Schizosaccharomyces pombe: one gene and its partners. Each later gene encodes a partner of the first gene's protein in a complex. Each region holds a gene or a part of one and is shown in the gene's direction. Other genes may lie near its edges.

Region 1 (5,461 bases):
TCGTCTGCTTATGTATTGTTTTACAGAGCAAAGAATTAAAGAGACGTATAATAGAGGTGATATGAACTTTACTCTAACTAAAGGCTAATGTCGTTTGTTTGAATATGTATGAAACTGGAAATTGAATATGAACGAAGACGAGGAAGAGGTGGGAGTTTTTGCAATAAAAAAGTAATAAAATAAGCTATTAAAATAATCCATTACATTTATTATTCATAGAGCATTAAAATTATGAAAAAAAAAGTAGTAAACTTTTGCAACCAGACGTTTTTAAAAGCCAGTGGGATTAACACGATTAGTACTACGGGTCCATTTTGGTGATTTATGGACACCCTTGCGGAAGCCTTGGAGACCGGCACCTTGAGTCTTCCTGGTAAACATAGTGTATTTATCCTTTGGTGACATTTGGGATTCAGGCTGATGGTTAGCAACGAAACTTTCAATTCGTTTGCACGATTGATTTTTCTCTTGCAACGCCGTGCGCAAAACATCTACCACCTCATCGACGGCACGAAGTCGTTGACGGTGACGATATTTTCTTCGCTGGGATAATCTCCAAGGTACTTTATGAACAAGACCGCCAAAGCGAGCCAAAGTCGAGTTAAATGCACCCAGCATATTTTTCGTATAAAATCAAAAGGAGAGGAAGAAGGTTGGATCAAAAAGAGCAAATAAAAATTTTTTGTTAAGTTTTTGGGTGATAGACAAATTCTGAGTAGTTGATGGTTTGTCACAAAGTAGTTTACGGCTCCAACGAAACAGCAAAGATGTGAACAAAAATTAACTTGATTAGCGTCCTAAATTGATTTAAATATTATATTGCCATTCAAATATAAACACTACACCTCCAAAATGGTGGAGTTGGTTAACTGAAGAATGATATAGGTTTTGGGTAAGTTCATATCCTTGGGTGTACCTTCCAACTCGAATCCACGTGACCACCTGCCAGTAAGAATCGGCTCATTTCTACTTCCCACCTGCTAGATAAATCGCGATAGGGCATTTGCAACCAACATCTCGAGAGTAATTAGCTCCTGGGTTATAACCGTTAAATACCACCTTTAAGGAAGAATAAGCAGAACTTGATCATGGCAGAGAAGACAATTACTGTTGAAGAAGTGTTAAAACATAACACTCGTGATGATTTGTACATTGTTGTAAAAGACAAGGTGTATGATATTTCCAAGTTCCTTGACGCTCACCCTGGTGGTGAAGAGGTTCTTGTTGATTTGGCCGGTAAGTAAATTTTTAGGGGTACGCGATAATGGAGGTCTTGAGGAAGATTGGTTGTAATGCATAAAAATTGGTCGCGATTGTGTGGAGTCGTAGAAATCGAAGTTTCAGACAACTAGCGTTACAAAACTTTGAATTTCACGAGAGTTTAGGTGTCGCATATACACATGTTCTTTAATTTGAAAGATTCAGGACGAATCTTTGCCGTAGGAACGTACAAAAATAGATGCGATATCCTGAATAAATACGATGTTTAATGCGACATTGTCATTGAAGGTGAATTGTTAAGTACAGTCTATATGTTCCAAGATTGATCGCTCTCTACTCGATGTTTTGTATTTCCAGTACTCTGAATACACTGAAATACATAATTTTGGAAAGATTGATTGACGATATCGCTTCGATTCTTCACATACGGCTTTTGGATTGGCTATACAAAGTTTCTGCCTTTCTCTACCATCGCTAGGGGCTTTTTTTTGTTCGTTTCTGTGATTATTAACTTGTTTTAGGTCGTGATGCTAGCGGTCCTTTCGAGGATGTTGGTCACTCTGAGGATGCTCAGGAGTTGCTCGAAAAATTTTACATTGGAAACTTGCTCAGAGTATGTCATTTATTTTTTCTCTTCGTTCGCCATAGGCTCGTTAAAATTTTTGTAAAAATTTGCTTCGACACTCTAACATATTTTAGACTGAAGATGGCCCTCAGCTTCCCACAACTGGTGCTGCCGCTGGTGGAAGTGGATATGATTCTTCTCAACCAGTTAAGCCTGCTATGTGGCTCTTTGTCCTTGTGATGGTTGTTGCTTACTTTGCTTTTCGCAAGTATGTCCTCAAATAGACTGCTTAAATTCCCAGTCTTACTTTTGCGCTCAAAGAAATTTAAAGGCCTTCTTTCGTTTTGGGTCGTTTAAATGTGCTGAATATGGTTTTGTGATTTTGAGCTAGCAAGTTTCGTTTTTTGTTGTTGTTAGATATCTACTTTAGCTTTCTTTACCTGTTCGTACTTAGGATATTTACGGATTCAATGTATTCCTTTAACACGCTTTGGTTTGGCTCTTAATGTGAATGGCATATTAATATTAATAGAGACCTTTGATTTGTCTGGACGTAAATTTAATTCACAACGGTCTTATGCTTGCTTTGCGTAACTGTATAATTGATAATACTTAGTGTTATATTTTTTGTATTTTCGTTGTTTGTTCTCTCATAAAAAAAAGTTTTATAGTTTCTTCTATTCTATTGTTTTATCGATGGACCTATGCCCAACTTGTCTAGAATTTTAAGCGGTGATCGAGTAAATAAGTTCGGGCGTTATTTAACGATCGAGGATTTATTCATTAAGTCTTTTTTTTTATATATAAATGTAAATTCATGATAATTGCGACACTTTTTACGTCTCAACAATTTTTTTCTACTATTTTAATTTAGGTGCTAATACACAGTTCCTGTAACCACCGCTACCTGCAGACAACCACCATCGCGCCTTTGCGAAAAATCAACTTTTTAAGATATGTCTTGGTTGTTTACAAGAAATAAAGAAGAGGAACCAACCTCAAAGATTGATTCTTCTGAATTGCAGGTCCCTACCGAGGCTACAGCCTCAGATATTTTATCGGGTTCTGAATTCGATCCCGCCAAGTTACATCCCCTCGCTGATTTAGATAAACCTCTGGATTACTTATTGATTGAGGAAGATGCTCTTTCTACTCTTCCAGGCGATAGCATGGCTATCCCATCTCGCGGATGGCAAGATGATCTTTGTTACGGTACTGGAACTTCTTATTTAAGTGGATTGGCGATTGGTGGACTCTGGGGTCTCAATGAAGGCATGAAGAAAACTAAAGATATTACTTCCACACGGTTGCGCCTTAATGGTATTTTGAACGGTGTTACACGACGTGGTCCTTTCGTTGGTAATTCCTTGGGTGTGCTTGCCCTCGTGTATAATGGAATCAATTCTTTAATAGGCTACAAGCGCCAAAAGCATGGATGGGAAAATAGTGTTGCAGCTGGTGCATTGACAGGTGCTCTTTACAAATCTACTCGTGGACTTCGTGCTATGGCTATTAGTAGTTCGCTTGTAGCCACTGCAGCTGGCATTTGGACCCTTGCAAAGCGTTCTTTCACTAAGCGACTTAATTAAAAAATTCTTTTGTAACTTTTGGTTATAAAATTTGTACGATAATGTGAGTTAGGTGTTCCTTTTATGACACTCATTTTCTCTCACTCTTGTGCGGACCCTTTTTTCCCTAATTTGTAAATCCGACAATGGATTTATGTCTTTTGGTTTTATTCATCTCATTTATGTCGTTTGATTTTCCTAAAAATTCAATTCTATCAACACCCTTCTGTCAAAAAGAATTGACTGCGTTTCTTTTTCCTCGCATTTGTAATATCTCTGAATCCTTGATCCTACCTCCTTTTCGCAAAGGGAAGGAATAAAACTACTGAACAAACATACGGGTTCTTACATTTTGTTTTGTTGGAATCCTTTTATTTGAACAGTACATTCATATTTTGACATAAATATCACTTTTTTGTATCATTTTTATCCCACAGCTTTTTATTACATTGTATTTTTGTACGTGATCAATATGGAAAGAAGGTTAAAGTTCTTGTTAAGTAATTGTTTATTCAAGTAATTCGTAAAATGGCTCTATTCGAGCACACTTTAACTAACAAAAAAAGAGAAAAAGGGTAGAGAGAAAAATGAAAGGATTTAAACGATTTGTCGGTACATATTGATAAAAAGGTAAGAGGAGGAACAATGAATATTCACAAAGAAGAACAGCTTTCATTGTATGCTTTAGTATTATTAATATTTCTAAATCTATAATAGCATTAAATAAATTTTTCATTAATAAAATGTACTCGACCTTAAAAATTTATCCAAGCGATAGATCTTCCAAGGGAAATATGACTTTCATAGTTAAGGCTTGTCATGTGGTATTATTAGTCATTAACAAAATCGTAAAAAAGAAACATAAAAAAGGATGTATGCAGAAATTAAAATAAAATACAAAGTATGTAAGACTCGGAATGCAATTATAAGCAAACCTACCCAACGTACTTATATGTCCTTCGATAAATTTTCGAGTTCTTCACGAGTTCGCAACCATCGTTGTAAATTTGTTTGTGCCCATTTGTAGATACATTCATGAACAGATTTAATTATTTCTTCCCACTGCGACGTCTGACATTCTTTGTAGAATTTAAGCTCTGCATCCATGAATTCGTCAATTTTTTGACAATCCCAATTTGCAGCCGCTAGTTGATTCTCTATGGTATTCTTATGCTGCTGGAGACTTTCTTTGCTAATGGAGGTTTCACCTTCTACAAAGTCATGTAAAACGTTTTGTAAGCGACCAAAAATTGTGTAACCCTTTTTGGCTTGGGAGACAACTGCTCGTTGAATAGTATTCAATCTGGTCGCCGGGTGTATCGTGGGTGAAGCAGCTACCATAGAGTCGGTAGCAGACATTGTGTTAGAGTGGATGAGCTGGTCTTGAAGAAAATCTCGCTGTTGTATCTTCAATTGCTTATACTTAAGAGCATCTGCGGCACACTTCGCCAGCTGCATAGACTGAACCATTTTTTCATAGACGGAGGAATTAAATTCTTGTTCGAATTCCTTGGCGTACATTCCGCTGAATTCAAAGGCATTAGCAATCACTTGCAAATGATTTGCTAATTGTATTTCATTGAGAGCAGTCAAAGAGTGAAATGCCGATCCTAACTTTGAAAGGCAAGACTCCATTTTAGAAATACTAGATAAAGTTGAATGTATGGAAGGACTCAGACTATGATGAAGGAATTTCCGACAAACAATCACTTCTTGAGTATAGGAAGTCAAATCTTTGAGTACTGGAGAGGGTGCGTCTTTACCATTAGAAATGCTGGAACGACGCTGTGTGGGAGATAACTCCGAAGGTGAGCTATTGTAATGTGGAAAGTCTGGTGCCGTTGGGGTAGAAGGACTTTCATTCAATTCATGCGTAGGTTGCATATCGCTTGTTGGGGGATGACATTCATCCTCAGAGCCCAAAGGAGAAGAAGGTTCTAAACTCGAAGCAGTTGAAGGATTAGATAAGGAATGGATTGGCTTTAATGCGCGAGACGAAGGGGGACTTAATGAGTTGGCCATTACAAGTGGCATGGAAGAGCGCAAATGAGCGAATGGGTCATGCTCAGTAGCAATAGGAGGAAGGCGGAGTGGATCAGTATTTGAA
Region 2 (5,350 bases), on another chromosome or scaffold:
GCCTAATTAACGCAGATGCAGCGAAGAGAAGGAACATTACCTAAGGAGGAATAAGTAGTAAACTGGGTAGGAAAAGAGCTACTGGACAATTGGATTTTTTTTTTTTTTTGAAGAGTTCTTCTAGATTTATTTTCTACATCCCGATATTTGGCAACCGACTTAGAATGGCATGACTGGGATTGTGTGCTTGGAAGCCGTACTTTGGTAATTTGTGACGGTCATTAAATTTGAGAAGCAAAGCAGACTTTACATTAATGTGTCCAGTTGCAACAATAATTCATAGAACTAATAAGAACAACAATGATAATGAAGATCAATAAGGTTAGCCGGGTTATTTTCATGTGTTTACTATATTCATGACATGTCCAGTAGTAAGAACTTTATAATTTTGGTTCATGTTTGACGATGTCGAATTGAGGAACTTTAAATTTTTCATTCATTACCAAGTCAAACGTAAGTAGTTTCCTTCTCGACTCGAGTAGATAGAGTTGCTGCTTAACAATAAAACGTAATCTAGCACAATAAACCCCTCTCAAACTTTCAATAAAGTCTTTTATCTTTTCCTTATTTTCCTTAATTTGATACAGTGAGCGACAACATTGGACACCTTTTGTTTACAAGGAAAAGGGTCAGATTCAGGCCGTAAGAAACTCTGCCGCAATGTCAATTACAGCTCCCTTTTGAATCATTCAGCTTTTCTCGGCTAATAATTTTATTCTAGGATCATGTTTGAAAGATTCCATTTACTTACTTATTCTTATAATTTGGGATGTTCTTATCATTTTGGCATACCAGTGAACATGCAAAGAAAGCACAGCAAAAAAGTTTGTGCTGCATAAAATCTCGTTGAAATGTTTTACAGGAGTATAGCGCGTTATTAAAAAACCTAGGGCGATTACTTTTCAATACGTTAAACTAATAACGAAAGATAACCTTCACATCGCTCTACGAATTAGTAAAATAGCAATGCACAACGCGATAAAAAACGATTTGAATGGAATGAAAGGGGTGAGGCTATAAAAAGCATTCTATAGTTGTCAATCAATTTTTTTGCAATCGAGTTCTAGAGATTTTTTGGATTCGTATATCCATGTTAACCAATTCAAAGTGTGAACGCCAACGATGCCACTATAATTTCAACCTTTTTGGGTAGCATGTAACCTAGTGATATACCATTGGGCTTCTTTATACAGGTAGTTAGAATTAACTAGTTTCTTCATAAATTTCGCCATTTCGAGCCATTTCCTTTTGTATTTATTTCTCGTGGATTTTTGTTCGTCTTTTTTTTTGTTAATTTTATCTTTTGGAAGCACCAACAGTATTGGTGGTTGGGTTGTTGTGTTATCGTAGAGTACACCCAGTTTGTGTAAATATAAACGTTTGACATTATAAAACCGAGAGGATTTATGTAATGGCGAAAAAATATCAGGATCTAGCTAGTGGAATCGCCATGGGTGCAGTTTTCATGTACCTTTTACGTCGTTTGTACGAGTCTCTTCGCGTCAAATCGTCAGCCGATTCGTTGGAAGAAGACATCGTAAATGGAGTAGAAGGACTAATTGGAAATACTAAAATGGTCAGGATAAAATCTCTTTCGCAAGCGACGGGCTGCGATATCCTCGCCAAAGCGGAATTTCTGAACCCTGGAAATTCTCCTAAAGATCGTGTTGCTTTGCAGATGATTCGCACAGCAGAAGAAAATGGAGATTTAGTACCTTATCAATCGAATGCTGTTTATGAAGGAACCGCCGGTTCTACTGGTATTTCGATAGCTATGCTCTGTTGTTCACTTGGCTATGACTCTCGTATATATATGCCTAGTGACCAATCTAAAGAAAAAAGTGACATACTTGAATTGTTGGGTGCTCATGTTCAAAGAGTAACTCCAGCTCCCATCGTCGATCCAAATCATTTTGTAAATACGGCTCGTCGTAATGCTGCCAATCATACCGTCGACGAGTCCATTCCTGGCAAAGGATACTTTGCTAATCAATTTGAGAATCCGGCGAATTGGCAAGCTCATTTCAATTCTACCGGTCCTGAAATATGGCGTCAATGTGCTGGAAAATTAGATGCATTTATTGCCGGTTCTGGTACGGGTGGCACTATCGCTGGTATTTCTCGCTACCTAAAGTCCAAAGATCCTTCCATCACCGTCTGTCTTGCTGATCCTCCCGGAAGTGGCCTATATCATAAAGTTCTTCACGGTGTGATGTTTGATTTGGCTGAACGAGAAGGAACTCGTCGGCGACATCAGGTTGATACCATCGTTGAAGGAGTGGGTATTAATCGAATGACACGCAACTTTTCTATCGCTGAACCCCTTATTGATATGGCTTACAGAGTAACTGATGAGCAGGCCGTAGCTATGTCTCGATACTTAGTCACCCATGATGGTTTATTTGTCGGCAGTTCTTCTGCTGTTAATTGCGTCGCTGCTGTCCGTCTTGCTAAAAAGTTGGGCCCTGGTCATCGAATTGTTACTCTTCTTTGCGATCCTGGATCTCGCCATTTTTCAAAACTGTATAACGAAGAGTTCTTGCGAAAAAAAAACATTGTTCCACAAGTTCCTTCTTCCTTAGATTTTGTTGAAGCTTAGGTTGTTCCTCTGGTAGTTTCGATAAACTACGTTTTTTTAATTTAATCGATAGTTCTGTTTTCTTTGTTTGTGTTAACGTGAATGTATGCCCTAATATTATGTTTGTTTTCCTAATGTTAGTAGAATTTATTTTCATTCGTAGTTGAACAAATACTTTTTGCTATTAAAAAAAAAAAAAATTTGATTATCCCCAATTACCAAAAAAACTGAAATTTCTTAGTATATCGACTTTTAAAGCATAATAAATCGCTCTGTCTAATATCGAAAATATCATATAGCACATACTTTTCAATTGTTTTCGTAGTTGTAAAGGTATTGTTACACTTTCAGAAAGAAACATGTGGACAACTAAAATGCCTTCATAAATTTGTTTTAAATTTCACAATTTATATAGCACAGAAAACAAGCTTCATCCAACTGTCCGCTAAGCTGAACTATTCAATTTTCAAATGACAATTTGTATTACGTTGAGCTACGCTATGTATTGTAAGCTCCGCTTTACGATGCTGAATTCTGTTTGCGGAATCGTCAGCACTCGTTAAACAGGGAGTAAGAGGGAGTAATAGAGTTGCCTGCAAGAGTAAACCTAGTTCAAACCTGCGAAATTTGACGTGCAGTCAGTAGACGACGACCTGGCTGTAAACTAGCATTTTTTACGATTAATTAGAAAGGTTATTTGCTTTTTGATTAAATACGGAGAGTTTGGATAACACAAGGGATCGAAACATTTCAGAAAATAGAAAAAAATGGCTAGCGCGGATCATACCAGGGATCCTTGTCCTTATGTGATTTTGAATGATTTCGGTGCTGCTTTTTCCATGGGTACTATAGGTGGTGCCATTTGGCATTCCATCAAAGGATGGAGGAACAGTCCACCGGTAAGTTAAATCAAGTAGTGCAAAGTTGAATGCGCAATAGAATGAAGGCATTTGCTAATGAAATTATTAATTAGGGAGAAAAACGAATTTCTGCTATTGCAGCTGCTAAAACTAGAGCTCCCGTTTTGGGAGGTAACTTTGGTGTTTGGGGTGGTTTGTTTAGTACATTTGATTGTGCCGTCAAAGGTGTTCGTCGCAAAGAAGACCCATGGAACGCTATTATTGCAGGCTTTTTTACCGGTGGTGCTTTAGCAGTTCGTGGCGGTTGGAGGGCTACTCGTAACGGTGCAATTGGATGCGCTTGTATTCTGGCTGTTTTTGAGGGTTTGGGTATTGCTTTGGGCCGTATGAATGCGGAATATAATCGTCCTGTCGCTCCAGTTATACCTGATGCCCCGGCTTCCGGTTCCACTTCTGCAGCTCCTGCTGCAGTTTAAAAATGATTGGTACTTGTAAATTATTTTAATTGTGCGATAAAACGAAGTATTAATAATTTTTAATGCTTACAATCAACGTATTGTATCCAAAAATTCCTTGTCATCTGTCATATTCACTATTTCCTTGTTTTCCAATTTTTTTGAAAATATCTTTCGTTTTCCGGTTCCTTTATACTAAGTTAGCTCTATATAAACTTGGCGGATTATTGAAATTTCGACATTTAAGCCTTTTCCGGAACTTACTGAATCTAATCTCCATCTTTTTTACATAAATCATTTTTTGGAAATAGTTTTTGACAGCATACGTATCCTGTTCAATTTTTTCATGAACTTCCATTAATACGCTTAAGGGTTGTGAATTTGTTCATTTTAGGGCTTTAATCTCGTAGGCTGATCGTTATTTCTTTTTCTTTGTTAAAGTAATGATTTGGTTTTGTAACGTTATTACCAGTAGTTTACAATCCATGCAAATACAATAAAAGAATACCTTTCTGCGTTTTCTCGTATCCTAGAATCTGATACTCCACTGACTCAAACCGTTACTGCAATTCTTTGAATCGGCATCGTGTTTGCTTTTTATTAGACTGCTTGATGAAATAGATCAATTAATCGACTGCCTAATATTGCTCAATGCACCAAAGCTTGTAAATTAAAATGTAAGAGTTTCGATAGGCTTCTAAAGAATGTGCTTTTTCTAACTATATTGTTTTTTCGCTTTATTTAGAACAAATTCAATTAGACAAAATTGCTTAAATTAGCATAGAAGACAATAGTACTCAGAAGCTAGCAGTAGCTCAAAAATATATTTTCCATTATCGAAACAAGCACTATGCAATTTACTTACACGTAGTTGCAGTACCCTGCAAGTAAACTGTAAATGAGAATAACTTCCATATGTATGAGATGGTATTATGATTGCAATTGAAATTCATACTCTTAAATTACAGAAACTTGTATTCTTGTTTACTAACGCTAAATTAAGGGAGTAAACAAACTCCTTACTTAATAAGCATAAATTAGATCATTAATGAAATACTTTAGTCCCATTAAATTAAGTTATGAAAAGACCTCCAAATATCCCACAAAATTACTAAAACTATAGAAATACCATCATATTACTCATATTATTTTTAATTTCATTGTATAAGTTTAAAAATTATTATAATTAAAGTGGCCGTTTGGTCTAGTGGTATGATACCATCTTAGGGTGATGGTGGTCGTGGGTTCGATTCCCACAACAGCCCATTTTTGCTTTTTGCTATTTGCCTATTTTGAAGGAATCAAATACTATTGCTAGCCTAGGTATTGAGTTATTCATTTTATGTATATTTAGCACTCTTGAGTCCTAGAAGATAGGAGTCTAACATGTAGAAGTAGATTAATATTCACTATAATAACAAAAACTAGACATTGTAATGAATTATTTTGAGAATTAC
Region 3 (5,081 bases), on another chromosome or scaffold:
TTAACAGACATTCAGTCAGAAGAAATATTCTGAAGACTAGACTTTACGGCTAGACATTTCGATTTTAGGACTGCAATGCTTTTAATGAACAAGACATCGGGCTTCATAATACCGGTGCTTTCAACAGAAAACAAATAATGATCGCGTACGCGGCCTAATTGCACCTTATCTGCAAATTCGGGATGTCTCAAGCATTCGCGGGATACGGTGTCTTTTCGAACGTCTGCTACACGGGCTTGTTTTTTACCATCAGGTCCTTCTTCAAGCTCGATGACTCCTTTAGGGAAGCATTTTTGAAATTTAACTGCATCTTCACCTTCAATAGGAGACAAGATATGTATAGTAGGCAATAAGCGGTAGGAGGCAGTAGCAACAGGAGAAAACTTAGCATGGTCTTGTCCAATACCTAAGATTGCATGAGCTTCTAAATCGATTTCCTGGCCAGGACGCAATTTTGCAACAACAATATCTGGGTTGACTACTCGTATAGGATTGTCAGCAAATCGCTCTTCCTGTCGACCTTGCGGTTTCCAAATTAGATCACCCGAATAAACCTCAGAGTTAACGTAAAGTCTCTTTGGATCTTTTTCATCTGTAGCGGCATTCTTATTAAACTCGCATTTCTTATTAAGGGAAAAGACAACAGTATCGTAATCAGTATGAGTTGCCTCTTGTCCTGGCAGAGGATGTTGAAACCATTTAAACATGTCAGGATCAGCAGATATAGGTACAAGACCTATTCTGTGAGACAAAACCTCATCTTGTATTATGCTCGTATTGTTTATGATATACACGAACTCAAATGCAAGAGTTGGGATCTCGGCGATTAAAATCCTCCTAAATGCATTTGCAATGGATGCATCAATTCCAGAAATTTCAAATACCATTGTTTCTTGATCGAGAGACGTAATCGAAACTTTTAAATTTTTTTTAAATTTATCAAGATCCCAGATGTTGTCTTCATCAAAATAATAACCTGGAAAATCTACACTTCCTACATCTGTAACACGATCAGAAAGGACAGAGATTTCTGTCCTTGATCTGTCAACCGCTGCCATTTTTAATTTTATGAAAAAAACGGTGAGAAGTTGCAATATAAACTTTTAAAACCTTTATATGCGTAAAAATTCGCTATTGTGTGGTAAACACGATAGTGCGAATAAAAGTAAGACATTGCAAATTAACTGACAATAGTAGTAGAGCACTTGAAGAAGCGTAAATAGCATTTTTTTAGCGATTCAAGTTTGCCAAACATTCATTTTTTTTTTTTAGACTGTATTTATAACGCTAAATACGAAATGGACGACAAAGAATTGTTTGATCGGTCTATATTTGAAGAAACTAATCAGTTACATTTGTATGATCAATTGAATTATTTAAAAAAGAATGACCTGCAAAAGTTTAGGAAACTTTTAAATCAAGTTCAGCAATTGGACTTACGGTCATTGTGGTTGAAGTATCGAAATGCTAAAGCGACAAGCCAAGAGAACAGAAAATTGTCCCCTTCAGAAGTTGGTCCACTATCTATTGTAGATACGTCTGACTCAAGTTGGTGGAGAACAGGTCTTCGGGAAATTGCTAGAGGTCATGTAGCTGCCTTAGTATTGGCAGGAGGTCAAGGCACTCGACTTGGGTTTGCTGGTCCAAAAGGTTGCTTTAGACTTGGGCTGCCTAATAATCCGAGCATCTTTGAGCTGCAGGCACAAAAAATTAAGAAATCGTTGGCGCTCGCCAGAGCCGCATTTCCCGATCAAGAAGCCTCTATAAGCATTCCATGGTATATAATGGTTTCTGAATGTACGTCAGAGGAGACAATTTCTTTTTTTAAGGAGAATGATTTCTTTGGTATTGATAAGAAAGACGTTTTTTTCTTCCAGCAAGGAGTTTTACCTTGTCTAGATATCTCAGGTAGGGTCCTTTTTGAATCTGATTCTTCATTAGCTTGGGCTCCTAACGGCAATGGAGGTATTTATGAAGCTTTGCTTTCCTCTGGTGCATTGAATGATATGAATAGAAGAGGTATACTCCATATTACGGCTTATAGCGTTGACAATGTTCTTGTTTTGCCGGTTGATCCTGTATTCATAGGAATGGCTACTACTAAAAAACTTGAGGTTGCCACTAAAACTGTTGAAAAAATCGATCCTGCTGAAAAAGTGGGTCTCCTTGTATCTTCCCATAATCATCCTTGTGTTGTAGAGTACTCTGAAATTTCTGACGAAGCATGCAAAGCTACAGAAAATGTTGATGGTCACAAGCATTTGCTGCTTCGTGCGGCTAACATTGCATACCATTATTTCTCTTTTGATTTCTTACAGAAAGCTTCTTTGCACTCAAGTACCCTTCCTATTCACCTTGCATGCAAGAAAATTCCATTTTACGACGTAACGTCTCATCATTATACTACACCTTTAAATCCCAATGGATATAAACTTGAGAGTTTTATTTTCGATTTGTTTCCCAGTGTGTCAGTTGAAAATTTTGGATGTTTCCAGGTACCACGTAGGACTTCATTTAGTCCTCTAAAAAATTCAAGTAAATCTCCCAATGACAACCATGAAACTTGTGTAAACGATATTTTGAGTTTAGGTAAAAGCTGGATTTTAAAGAATGGTGGTATCTTAAGTCCAAGCGACTGCACCTATGTTTCCCCAGAATGTAGTTTACAAGGAGAATCACTCGAGTGGATTAAAGGGAAGCAGGTTAGCAATTGTAAACTTTACTAGTTTCCTCTCCTATATTCAACTATTTTTAAAGGTTTATATAAACAATGTAACAAAGTCAATGTGATAAATTTATTTACTTTCATTTTATATTGTACAATAATCGTCGAAGCACTAATTGCTGTTCTTAATCAGCAAATCAACATTCAGGATTTCAATTACGGTTTTACTTCGATTGTTAATATATTAATTTAATAAATTAATTGACCGTGCGTTTATTGAATTTATTAGTGACTGAAAATTTTCTAAATCATCTTCCACCTAATTCGCTTTCGTTCATTTTAAAATAACCCTGACTTTTAATATATCGTTGTTTAATCATGATGTTGCATTATTACTCCTTTCTTTTCAAGCTAAATACTCTCAAATTTTAGTATGCTTTTTACTAAATTACCTGACTAACGGAATAATGAGGTGTAACAACCATATCACTGCTAAAGCTCAAAAATTTAACGAACTACATTGCATCCTATGTCGAGCTCACTAGACATTGCCTTTATGCCGTTTAGCCTCGTCACTATATACATCTTCTTTGCATCTTTTTGTATCAACTAGATGATTCGTACTATTCAAAGGCAGAGCGCTACAAGGTTTTCTTCAGCTTTGGTTCAGAGGAGATTATACTCTTTGGCTTCTGATTCTCTCAATAAACAACGGAAACCACAAGAAGAAGGGCGCCTGGCACGAATTTTCAAAGATCCGTCTAACAAAGCTTGGAAGGATTTGACGGCTCCTCAAAAAGCATACAGAACTTCTGCTAATATTGGAAATTTTTCGATTGTGATATTTGGAGGCGGCGTTTTCGGATTGATTATATATGCACTTGTCACTAGTATCTGGAAGGGCGAGGCACATTACGGTGATGAAGCTTTTGAACTTTTAAAGGCTAATGAAGAATGTCGATATGTTTTTGGAGATCACATGAAAGCCCTAGGTGAAGCCACGCATCCTCTTCGTCGAACTCATGGTATATTGACTAGTCGTGTGTGGGATCACCATGGTGTAGAACATCTAGTACTACAATTTCACTTAATCGGTAATGAGAGAAAAGGGCACGTATTTGGAAGACTTGTAAATGTTCAAGGTGACTATAAATGGGAATATCTTTTCGTTGATGTTGCAAATTACGGAAAAATCATAATTTTTGATCATACCAATTCTGTACGACAACAACATAAGAATTTTGGTTTATGGGGAAGCTTAAAAAATATTACATGGGGAAATTAGAATTTCCGAATGATAAACGCACGACGGAAAGGTATAGCTGTTAATTTCAACCGAAAAGGAAATCATTGAATTATTTCTCGATTTTAATGGTTTGATTAATGGTTTTTCGCAGAGAATTAATTTTCTAATTTACGAATTAATTTACAGGCGATGTTAATGATTTTTATCAGAATTAGCACACTTAGTTATGCAGTATTTGGATGTATATTGCAAAAAATAAAAAAATCGTCGACACTTTATTACTAATTAAGCGATCGAACCTCATGATTTGTTGTTTAATTAGTTAGTATAAAGAAGCGAATTTGTACGAGGGGCCTTTTCGCAGGGGCTGATTAATCGCCAATCTAATGTACTACCTAAATGTGTTTAGTTATAAAAAATATAAGAATGATTCAAAGCACATGAAATAATTTTGATTATTAGATATAAAGTACAAGATGTAGGCCGGTATTTATAACCGAGTACACTAATCCATATCCAACTAGCAATTAATTATATATTAAATTTTTATAATGACAAAACGCAACGCATTCAAAAAAGATGAAAAAATCTGGTATATAATTTCCAAATAAACAAATTAAAAAAGAAGAAAAACAAGGATAAAATACTTAAGTTTCGACAAAATTAAGCAGCAGTCGAGTCTTCATTATCCGGCAAATTAAACAATCCAAACCATAAATCGTCACCAGTACTAGTATCTTTTAAAAATTTGTCGAAGTCAAAATCATTTAGAAGAGCCGCATCGATGTCTGTTGAATTTCCAACATCCAATAATTGATTGTCTGAAGATTTAGTGGCAACTGTGGTAGACTCCGTAGGTGCAGAAGGAGTCGCGGAAGTATCAGGATTTGATTTTCCTGACTGATTTTGATTATCCAACTCAGAATCGGATTTGTGAACATTTGCTCCTTGCGATGGTTCCAAAGCAGGACCTACACTTGTTGCTTCATTTGTTGATGATTCGGGGTTGGTAGTGTTGACGGTCGGTGCTGGAGTTGGAGCATTTGAATTAGCAGAAGAAGGCTTTTGTTTTGATCGAACGTCCAATGGAGAACTGGCATTTGGAGTGGGTCGCGATGAATGAGTTTGTTGTAATTGCCAATTCCCCATAACGTCCATTCCATTGTCCGC

What was found.
Region 2: tim23 (region 1) and tim17 share a complex: the UniProt entries of both Schizosaccharomyces pombe proteins name them as parts of the TIM23 complex.
Region 3: tim23 (region 1) and tim21 share a complex: the UniProt entries of both Schizosaccharomyces pombe proteins name them as parts of the TIM23 complex.

Annotation. Positions count from the first base shown.
Region 1 is NC_003421.2:884,015-889,475, reverse strand, and holds tim23 (TIM23 translocase complex subunit Tim23), read left to right. Parts: upstream 1-2,695; 5' UTR 2,696-2,742; coding exon 2,743-3,375; 3' UTR 3,376-3,790; downstream 3,791-5,461. Other genes in the region: ubiquitin hydrolase Ubp1, read left to right, coding at 1-39; mrpl31 (mitochondrial 54S ribosomal protein mL60), read right to left, coding at 271-618; oca8 (cytochrome b5), read left to right, coding at 1,089-1,236, 1,743-1,834, 1,921-2,070; sorting nexin Atg20, read right to left, coding at 4,303-5,461. UniProt on the Schizosaccharomyces pombe protein: Essential component of the TIM23 complex, a complex that mediates the translocation of transit peptide-containing proteins across the mitochondrial inner membrane.
Region 2 is NC_003424.3:1,449,206-1,454,555, reverse strand, and holds tim17 (TIM23 translocase complex subunit Tim17), read left to right. Parts: upstream 1-3,181; 5' UTR 3,182-3,345; coding exon 3,346-3,477; intron 3,478-3,551; coding exon 3,552-3,914; 3' UTR 3,915-4,629; downstream 4,630-5,350. Other genes in the region: cysteine synthase-like protein Cys12, read left to right, coding at 1,412-2,599. UniProt on the Schizosaccharomyces pombe protein: Essential component of the TIM23 complex, a complex that mediates the translocation of transit peptide-containing proteins across the mitochondrial inner membrane.
Region 3 is NC_003423.3:4,396,042-4,401,122, forward strand, and holds tim21 (TIM23 translocase complex subunit Tim21), read left to right. Parts: upstream 1-3,257; 5' UTR 3,258-3,278; coding exon 3,279-3,950; 3' UTR 3,951-4,360; downstream 4,361-5,081. Other genes in the region: DNA-directed RNA polymerase I and III subunit Rpc40, read right to left, coding at 12-1,058; uap1 (UDP-N-acetylglucosamine diphosphorylase Uap1/Qri1(predicted)), read left to right, coding at 1,299-2,726; adn2 (transcription factor), read right to left, coding at 4,575-5,081. UniProt on the Schizosaccharomyces pombe protein: Essential component of the TIM23 complex, a complex that mediates the translocation of transit peptide-containing proteins across the mitochondrial inner membrane. Required to keep the TOM and the TIM23 complexes in close contact.